Linked DNA regions of Kluyveromyces lactis. The protein of the gene in region 1 purifies or fractionates together with the protein of each later gene. This does not show direct contact. Links are inferred from orthologs where the notes say so. Each region holds a gene or a part of one and is shown on either strand. Other genes may lie near its edges.

What was found.
Region 2: the proteins of KEX2 (region 1) and SIL1 purify together in Saccharomyces cerevisiae (affinity purification with mass spectrometry, with the first as the bait; 3 studies listed by BioGRID). This does not show direct contact. The link is inferred for Kluyveromyces lactis from reciprocal best matches to the Saccharomyces cerevisiae genes KEX2 and SIL1.

Annotation. Positions count from the first base shown.
Region 1 is NC_006040.1:1,670,962-1,676,473, forward strand, and holds KEX2 (kexin KEX2), read right to left. Parts: upstream 3,648-5,512; coding exon 1,377-3,647; downstream 1-1,376. Other genes in the region: YTP1 (Ytp1p), read right to left, coding at 1-911; iron-sulfur cluster assembly protein NAR1, read left to right, coding at 4,446-5,512.
Region 2 is NC_006042.1:742,300-747,078, forward strand, and holds SIL1 (Sil1p), read left to right. Parts: upstream 1-1,857; coding exon 1,858-3,330; downstream 3,331-4,779. Other genes in the region: cystathionine gamma-lyase CYS3, read left to right, coding at 169-1,344; OPI10 (Opi10p), read right to left, coding at 3,424-4,152; glutamate--tRNA ligase MSE1, read right to left, coding at 4,409-4,779. UniProt on the Saccharomyces cerevisiae protein: Required for protein translocation and folding in the endoplasmic reticulum (ER). Functions as a nucleotide exchange factor for the ER lumenal chaperone KAR2.

The sequences.
Region 1 (5,512 bases):
TGAACTTTTGTGCTGATGATAAGCTTCTGTGAATGTTCCGACATTGCCCAGCCAGTAACAATAATGAGCAGTCCTGGCACAAATGTTCTGCTACCGTCACGAGAGAGGTATATCCCGACAAGTCCACCAGCCCACCAAATGATCCCCATTGCAGTGTGTTGATAGTCTCCATGGTTCCATTCTTCTCTTCCCCATCTATGTTCTGTGAAAGTGTTAACAATTCCCCAGGCACACATAACGCAACTGTCATAGAAATCCTGTGAGTATTTCCCATTGTTATTCCTCAACCAAGGAAGTACAAGCACTGTCACATAAACGAATCCATACAGAACAAAAGCAGTGCCCATAATACCGTGAGCGATACATTGACCGGTGTGTTTTCCACGACAAAATCCAAACAAAGCAACAGGCGCGAGACAGATTTTCACCCAACCCCCTAGCACACATAACAGAGATAACACTCTATGGGCAATCTCGACCTTTGTTGAAGCTATATGAGACAAGGCGCTTTTGATCCTGTCATTGAACAACAGAAAGTTCGATCCTGTATATATAGCACCGGTTAGAAAAGTAAGACCGGATAACAACAGTAATGCCCAGGAACAACCTCTGGATGTCCTGTTTTCGATACCATCTCCATCAGGGAACCTCAAAAATAATGCTTCTACTAAGCAGTAAGCGCAACTTATTGATTGGAAGAATAACGATGAATACACTTTACCGCCAAATGTTAAAGTCGTTGAAAAAGACGGTAATAGAAGCAAAAAGGTCATTGATGCCAACCAATGGAAGGTTTTGCTACCTGCTGCGTTAATTTCAGGTCTTGTATATTCCTCTATATCATCCATATTCATTGCAGCCGCCAGAGACATGCAGGTCAAAAGACACAGATAGTTACGAGACATTGTCATTACACCCTTCCACCCTAAACTCTTGGACGACGTCAAAATAGAAGTAGTTGATAACTGAGATAATAGATCCTTAACCCTAATCACAATTGAATGAGTTCCTTTTAATCGTTGCAGTGAAATCGTGAGTCGGAACTGTCCCTGTTAATGAACTACATGTCAGAATCCTTTATATCCCATTAACTATAATCACCTTAAACTATGCTAGTTTTACATGTTTTTTTTTATGTTCCACTTCTGATTCATTTTTTTGAGAATGCGGAAATTGTTACTTCTTATTTCATGATTGAAAATGAATCCTAGATTCGCCTACAGTATGTTGATGATGCAACAATTCCATCCATTTTAGCTCATTTTGTATCATTGGACATCAAGCGATATGACTTCGAGGCTAAAAACCTATCTTTCTATATGAAAACGTCAGTATTTTGAGATTTATCTCTTATGAACTGGTTATGCTATGTCTTTCTATTTGTTGGGAATCGAGTTTTGCCCTAGTAAATTGCTTGTATGATCAGGAGAATTGTCGAAAGATTCCAGAGATTCATTCCCGAAAGGATTATTGCTTGAACTTTCACGGGGTGAGAGCTCTTCTTCATTTATGTCGAAGTTAAAGTCTTCAAGGTTATCATCATTTACTTCACCAGATATAGACTCTGCAGTTTGATTAATCGAAGAATCGTATTCTGAGTCGGTATCAATGATATCAAATTCATAAGCTTCTGCTCTAGACCTTCTGATTATTCTTCTTGATTTTAAGAAAAACAAATAGTAAATTATGATGACTATCGCACCAATGACAAAAATTGCCAAGTATAACTGGGCAGCCTGTTCGGGACGAGGCAACTTATTTGCACCAGATGTTTCTTCTCCAGAAGTCGTCGTGAATGACGAAGTTTGTGCAGTGGGAGTTGTGGTTTTAGATTCGGTACTCTTAACTTCAGCATCCTCTTTGTCATTTCCATATGATATCACTTTGGCCTTCTTTGCATCGATAGTTTCTCCAAACATCTTTAATCTCCAAGATTTGAGTGTTACAATTTCATTATCATGCGTAGACTTTACTTTTAATTTCCAGCTTCCAACTCCACTAGAGCCCCAGTGCGCGACAGACATGAAAGTCCAATTTTGAAAACCATAGCGGTTTTTATCTAAACGTCTAGCTGTCGCTAAGGTAGATGTAACTCCATCAGGCGATATTAGATCTACTAAGACATGTCCACGGTAAGGTGCGTCTATATCGACAGTTACAGTGACATGTTCCAACCTTTTTAGGTTATTTTGTTTAAACTCTTCAGCAGAAACTGAGACTGTGGATTCTATAACTTCATCTGAATTACTGATAGACTGTTTTTCAACGATTGTAGGAAGGTAAAGCCAACCTTGTGGGTTTACATTGATCCAACTTTTTGCCATATGGACAATGTTATATGCATCAAGTTTTCCAAATCCATATGTGTGAGAATAACGCTTTCCCATAGCTGTATCCTGCCACTTTCCATCGTGCGGATTTATTTCCTCAGAGCTCAATATTGAGAGGTATTGTACATCTCGCCATGTTAAGTTCGGGTTAGCTTCCAGCACTAAAGTATATATACCAGCTGCAAGAGGAGCTGCAGCTGAAGTGCCTCCATGCGTATTGGAACATTTTTCGTCTAAATCTGTTGTTTTTATGTAATTTCCTGATCCCGAAGAATAAGTAACAACCATTACAGCAGAACATGATTCAGAATATGGAGGATGTAGGCCCTTCCAATCAATGGCACCTACAGTGATAGAAAATATAGAGTTTGTGTAGCCGTCAAAGTTGCAGCTGTCGCCAAACATACCACCATTCCCACTCGCAAATACATATAGTGCACCTTTTGCATCTCGTCCTTCTGTTACACCTTTTATGATTGCCTTTTTTACTAATGTATCCGGCGCTTGCATAGTTTTACCGTCATCAGATGGACCCCACGAGCAAGAGTAAATATCATTAACGTCTAGTCCATAAATTAATGAAGCAGCCTCATCTTCGGCTGTGATCTGGCCTGACAAAATTCTGATACCGGATACCTTAGAGTTATAGGCGACACCAACCCCACAAATATCATTACGGAAAGCCGCTATTTCACCTGCGCAGCGGGTACCATGGTAATCATCTTTTAGCCTTGGCTTCGGCAATGGGTTGTTGTCATTAAAATCCCAAGAACCTTCAACACAGAAATTGTCTTTTAAATCTTCGTTCTCATAATCCAATCCATCATCCACCAATGCTGCCACTACACCATAGCCAGTGATGTTTTCTTTCCATAAACCAGTTACGTTAACGTCATTTCCAGGGTAGTTTGGATTGATCAAGTGCCACTGCTGATCAAACAATGGATCAGAAATATTGAAAAGAATTCTAGCGTTCTGGATTTGTTCCATACTAGAATCCCCAATAGGCAATCTTTTGTGTAACTGAACGGGGGGTAGATCGTGGAAATCAATGATGTTTTCTGAATATCCTGTGTCAATCGCATCTCGTTTACCCAAACTCTGCAACGGTTTCGAGAACACATAGTGATTGGCAAGGCCTCGAACATCGTGCTCGAAACTCCAGTCACTGTGTTCCGCTAGTAGATTACCTACATCATCATAAGATTCAATTGCAAAATACTGCCTATTTTCGTGGTCTTTTTTAGGAACTTGCATTGCTTTACCGTATCCTGACACTGCTATTAAAGCTAGCATGAGCTGCGACGATAGGATCATAACTATCGTTCTGAAAATTAAGGAATATTAAGGGAAAAAGGTAATAAGTAAGTGGAAAATCTTATTCAATGACTTGCCCGGCGTAGAGCTGATATCCTGATTTAGAGATTGCACCTAATTTGTCTAGCTGTACTAGACCCTTAGTATTGTACAACTTTTTGGAATGGCCTTTATTTTTATGCTGTATAAAAGACGTGTAACACATGAAAGAGCAACCCGATTCGATAAGAAAGTCTTCTAAACGTACCTAATCGTTAACAGGTCTTCTATGTTTAACCTCTAGCAAAGCCAAGTGCAGGGTTTATTTGTATTTCTTTCACTATATCTCTTTCTTATGTCCACTTTTTCGACTGATGTCTCAGTTCATAATAAAACATCACAGTTTTGGCACTGATCTAATAATATAATTTTCAACCTCAATGCTAAAGCAGAAATCCAAACCGAAAGCATGTCGGCGGTGAGAATAATTGTTCTCAGTTTCTGCCGTAAACAAAATCAAAGGCGGGTATCTTTATCAAGTTTTAGTCACGTGAATGAGAATATGTTATTCATGACACTTGCGATGTTGACATATTGATTAGTCAATTCAAAAGAAATTATAAGAGAAACTGAGACAGAGGATTTATTAGTAAGTGATTTCATTGTGATGGACTCAGAGTAGCATAAGAGAAGCCCATATAAGAACGTTCAGAATACAAAGCCAAAAACGATTCAAGTTGCATACTAAGGACTATTTTATTTGAAAACACTACTACTGCTTAGCTTCTTTTTCGAGGATCTTTAAGATAGAAAGAAACAATGAGTGCGTTACTTAGGGATGCCGATTTGAACGATTTTATAAGCCCAGGTTTGGCGTGTGTGAAACCAGCTCAACCTCAAAAGGTTGAGAAGAAACCATCATTTGAAGTTGAAGTTGGCATTGAATCTAGTGAGCCTGAGAAGGTATCGATCAGTTTGCAAGACTGTTTAGCCTGTGCTGGTTGCATTACTTCATCAGAAGAGATTTTATTATCGAAGCAAAGCCATAAGGTGTTCTTAGAAAAATGGAGCGAATTGGAAGAACTAGATGAACGATCTCTAGCTGTCAGCATATCTCCTCAATGTAGACTTTCGTTGGCTGACTATTACTCTATGTGCCTTGCAGACCTCGATCGATGTTTCCAAAATTTCATGAAAACCAAGTTCAATGCGAAATATGTTGTTGGTACCCAGTTTGGAAGGTCTATTTCAATATCCCGGATAAACGCAACCTTAAAAGACAGGGTTCCGGAAAATGAAGGCCCTCTTTTGTGTAGTGTTTGTCCCGGTTTTGTGTTGTATGCAGAGAAAACGAAACCAGAATTAATACCTCATATGTTAGATGTGAAATCACCTCAGCAAATAACAGGCAATCTATTGAAACAAGCAGATCCAACATGCTACCACTTGAGCATAATGCCATGTTTTGATAAAAAACTAGAGGCATCTAGAGAAGAATGTGAAAAAGAAGTAGATTGTGTGATAACACCAAAGGAATTTGTAGCAATGCTCGGAGATCTTTCGATAGATTTCAAGAGTTACATGACGGAATATGATTCATCAAAAGAGTTATGTCCCAGCGGATGGGATTATAAACTTCACTGGTTAAGTAACGAAGGCAGTAGCAGTGGCGGATATGCGTACCAATACCTTCTTTCCTTACAGTCCTCGAATCCTGAGTCAGATATTATCACTATTGAAGGTAAGAACAGCGATGTGACCGAGTACAGATTAGTTTCTAAGAGTAAAGGTGTAATAGCCTCGTCAAGTGAGGTATATGGGTTTAGAAATATACAAAATTTGGTTCGAAAGCTTTCACAATCAGCGTCTGTAAAAAAAAGGGGAAT
Region 2 (4,779 bases), on another chromosome or scaffold:
GATATATATAAGAAAACTTAATTCTAATTAAACGTTACCTATTAATTATACTGATTCTGTCTATTTAAACCCTTTCTTAGTTTTAATCATAGCTAATCATCGCAGGTAGAATTTTAGTTGTATCTGGTTCTAAGTTCCACAAGAAAGTGAAAATAAGATATATTTGAAATGGGTTTGTTACCAACTGATAAGTTTGCTACAAAGGCTATTCACGCCGGTACTCACGTGGATGTTCACGGTTCTGTCATTGAACCAATTTCTTTGTCTACTACTTTCAAGCAGTCTGCTCCAGCTCAACCAATTGGTGAATACGAATACTCTAGATCTCAAAATCCAAATAGAAAGAATTTGGAAGATGCCATTGCTGCTTTGGAAAATGGTAAATACGGTTTAGCGTTCTCTAGTGGTTCCGCCACCACTGCTGTGATTCTACAATCCTTGCCACAAGGTTCTCATGCAGTTTCTATTGGTGATGTTTACGGTGGTACTCACAGATACTTCACCAAAGTTGCCAATGCTCATGGTGTTGAAACCACTTTCACCAACAACTTGGTAGCTGAGTTGCCATCTTTGATCAAGGAAAACACTAAATTGGTTTGGATTGAAACCCCAACTAACCCAACTTTAAAAGTTACTGATATCGAATTAGTAGCCAAGACCGCTAAGTCCATTAATAAGGATATCCTACTGGTTGTTGACAACACTTTCCTATCTCCATATTTGTCTAACCCTCTGAACTTCGGTGCTGACATCGTCGTCCACTCTGCTACTAAATACATTAACGGTCACTCTGACGTCGTCTTGGGTGTCTTAGCTACCAACGACAAAGTCATCTACGAAAAGTTGCAATTTTTGCAAAACGCTATTGGTGCCATTCCATCACCATTTGATTCTTGGTTGGTACACCGTGGTGTCAAGACTTTGCACTTGAGAGTTAGACAAGCTTCTTTGTCCGCTCACAAGATTGCTGAATTCTTATCCTCTAACGAAAATGTCATCGCAGTTAATTACCCAGGTTTACCAACTCACGAAAGTTATGCAGTCGTTAAGAAACAACACCGCGATGCTCTAGGTGGTGGTATGATCTCCTTCAGAATCAAAGGTGGTGCAGAAGCTGCTTCTACCTTCTCATCTTCTACCAGATTATTCACTCTGGCTGAATCTCTTGGTGGTATCGAATCCCTATTGGAAGTTCCTGCCGTCATGACCCACGGTGGTATCCCAAAGGAGCAAAGAGAAGCATCCGGTGTTTACGACGATTTGGTCAGATTATCCATTGGTATTGAGGATACAGATGATCTATTGGAAGATATTAAGCAAGCTCTTGCATCCGCATCCAACTAATATTAATTTTCGATAAAACACCAGAAACACCCTTCCACATCAATGAAGAAAACGAGAGCACGTTAATTAATTCATATGCGACAGCATTTTCAATGGCAGGGTTTTCAACCCCCATCTATTTGCTTTAATAGGTCCACTTCTGTTATTGTACGGATTAGTATATAGAATTTTTTTTTATCTATCTGGCTATACTAGCTCACGTCTTTGATAGACTCTTTATCTATAATAACCCAGAATCACTGTTTTGATAGAACATTCACTTCTCACTGACGGCAGGTAGTAGCCTTCAAAATCCAAACCAATCTGTCACTTCTTTCTTTCCAACCTTGAAGTTTAGATGTGCTGTCATATTCTGTTCATGCCGTGAAAGATCTAAAAATAATAAATGACAAACCGTGTCTTGCCATTTCACGCACACATAACAGCTATAGTATCGTTAGAGTGGATTATCCTCTACCGGATTCATAGGTTCACACAAAACCACACTATCTAGATAGACCATCAGGTTTCGATATGAGAGTCAAATGTGTAAACAGAGCCATATATGTGCTGACGGTGCTACTTTTTTCTAGGCTGGTTGTTTCTCAAGTTGTCCTAACACCATCTAATTCAAATGCTGATCCGAAACAAAAAGATACAGCAAATACAGTTGCTGCAGTGGAAGCTAATAATGACGCTAACATAGCTAAGAAAGACGCTGAATCAGATCTAGTTATTGGAGATCATTTGGTCTGCAATACAAAAGAATGTTATCCCATAGGATTTGTACCCTCTACAGAATGGAAAGAAATCAGACCTGGTCAACGACTACCTCCAGGACTTGATATTAGAGTAAGCCTAGAGAAAGGTGTTAGGGAAGCTAAATTACCTGAACCAGGATCCGAGAACATTGGTAATGAGGAGGAAGATGTGAAGGGTTTGGTACTTGGTGCAGAAGGTTCGACCTTATCTGAATCTGAATTGAAAGAAACCTCAGAGGATTTGGAAAATGAGCAGAGTGGATTCAAATTGAACAATGCTGAAAAAGAGAGCGATATTCTACAGCAAGAAACTGATCTTAAGATAGCGGTGTCGGATAACGCTGAAGCAACCTCTAATGAACCTGCGGGGCACGAATTTTCTGAAGATTTTGCCAAAATAAAATCCTTAATGCAGTCACCAGATGAGAAGACGTGGGAAGAAGTTGAGACTCTTCTTGATGACTTAGTTGAGTTTGCACATGATTATAAAAAAGGTTTCAAGATTTTGTCAAATGAGTTCGAATTATTAGAATATCTTTCTTTCAACGATACTCTTTCTATTCAAATTAGAGAGCTGGCTGCTAGGATAATCGTCAGTTCGTTAAGGAATAATCCACCAAGTATTGATTTCGTGAATGAAAAATATCCACAGACCACCTTTAAATTGTGCGAGCATCTTTCTGAACTTCAAGCTTCTCAGGGCTCAAAATTACTTATCAAGAGGTTTTTATCTATACTTGACGTGTTGCTGAGCCGCACAGAATATGTGTCCATAAAAGATGACGTTTTATGGCGCTTATACCAAATTGAAGACCCATCTTCTAAGATCAAGATATTAGAAATCATTGCCAAATTTTATAATGAGAAAAACGAACAAGTCATTGACACTGTGCAACAAGACATGAAGACAGTGCAAAAATGGGTGAATGAATTAACAACAATAATACAAACACCAGAACTAGATGAACTTCATCTCAGATCCTTCTTCCATTGCATCAGTTTCATAAAGACACGTTTCAAAAACCGTGTCAAAATAGATTCTGATTTCTTGAATTGGTTAATCGATGAGATTGAAGTGCGCAATGAAAAATCGAAAGATGATATTTATAAAAGAGATGTGGATCAACTGGAATTTGATAATCAGTTAGCCAAAAGCAGACATGCAGTTTTCGGTAACCCAAATGCTGCCAGACTAAAAGAGAGACTCTTTGACGATGATGACACTTTAATAGCCGATGAGCTATGAGTGATTGACAGCGAAATACATAAATTGGCATTACGTTATTAGATAGAATTTAAATTGGAAAAGTCTATGTAATTTATTTAAATAACGGTAGTCTCAGTCCTTTGTAACCTCATCCAAGAAAGTTGCATCGTTTTGCAACCTTACTCTGAACTTTTCCCACCATGTATCAAACCTTTTGATGGAGACGTTCCCTTGAGCATCGACAAATCCAGTTAAATAATTATAAGCATGCTGAACGATCTTCGCAGCCAATTCTTGTGTTACCACAGGATATTGTTTCGCAAGAGCTCCTGCAGTTAGGATTTGTACAGAATTCTTAGATAGTACCATTGCACCGGCACCAGCGCTCGAACTCAATGCAGCTTGCTCCGCTTTCCACTGCTCAAGCTTGGCAGTGGCATCATTTCTTGGTTCAATGGAAATTCCTATGATTAACTGCGAAATATTGTGATTTGCGTTGGCACCATTGAGGTCATCTGTCATTACATCGTCTTCCATATCAATTTCACCTAATCCATCTGAAGGGTTAGCTGTCACACCATTCCCAACATTGGCCTGTGGAAGTTTTACCTTAAAAATTGCACTCGGTTTCTCATTACCCAAGTATCCAAATAATTTGAAGTCCTCCGCTGGATTTAGTTTAAAATACACTGTCGCAAGGAATTCCTGAGGGAATGTTACGTTTGGTAGTATAAACAAAGTGATATGTGAGTATGATTTTGGCTTTGTTGATGATAATACTATTGTATGCTGCAAACCATTAGAATTAGGTACTTCAGTGGATAATTGTAAGGGGTTCCCGGAGGCGATGGCAGCAAACATTTTACAATTCCTGTTTGCTGTACTTTGTCAGAGTGTGAGTAGATAGGAGTACCATTTTCTTGGAACAGAAAGCCGTCCTACAAAGGTTGTGTGTGTTTTCCCAACTTCTTTTATGTATGTATCCTTTATATTACTTGAACTTTATATCATTTTCTTGCTTATTCGAGAAATTTCCTAACCTTCACGCACATGAACCCCGAGAGATAGAAAATTGCTATATACATGAATAGTAACTATTTAATATGTAGTATTTATATTAACGCGATTTGATCAGCGTTAATGCGTTACCAATTCTTCTGTTAGATTCATCTGGTGTAAGAATCTTCACCAAGACGGGAAGTTTAACGCAAGGCATTGAGCCGACAAGAGCAAATCTAACACTTTCGAAAATAAGTTTCTTTGGTACGGATAATTCTTCCACTGCAGTTTTGATGAGGTCTGAGATGTTAGATTCTGAGATTTTATCTTTCAGGAATGATAGTACCCTGCAAACATCATCTGTGTTATGATTCTCCAAGAAATTGGTAGCATTCTCATTGACATAAGTAGGATCTTTGAATAAATTGTAAAAAGATGAATCAATATCGTAAATCGTTGTCAAATGGGTTCCAATAGACTTTAAAACCT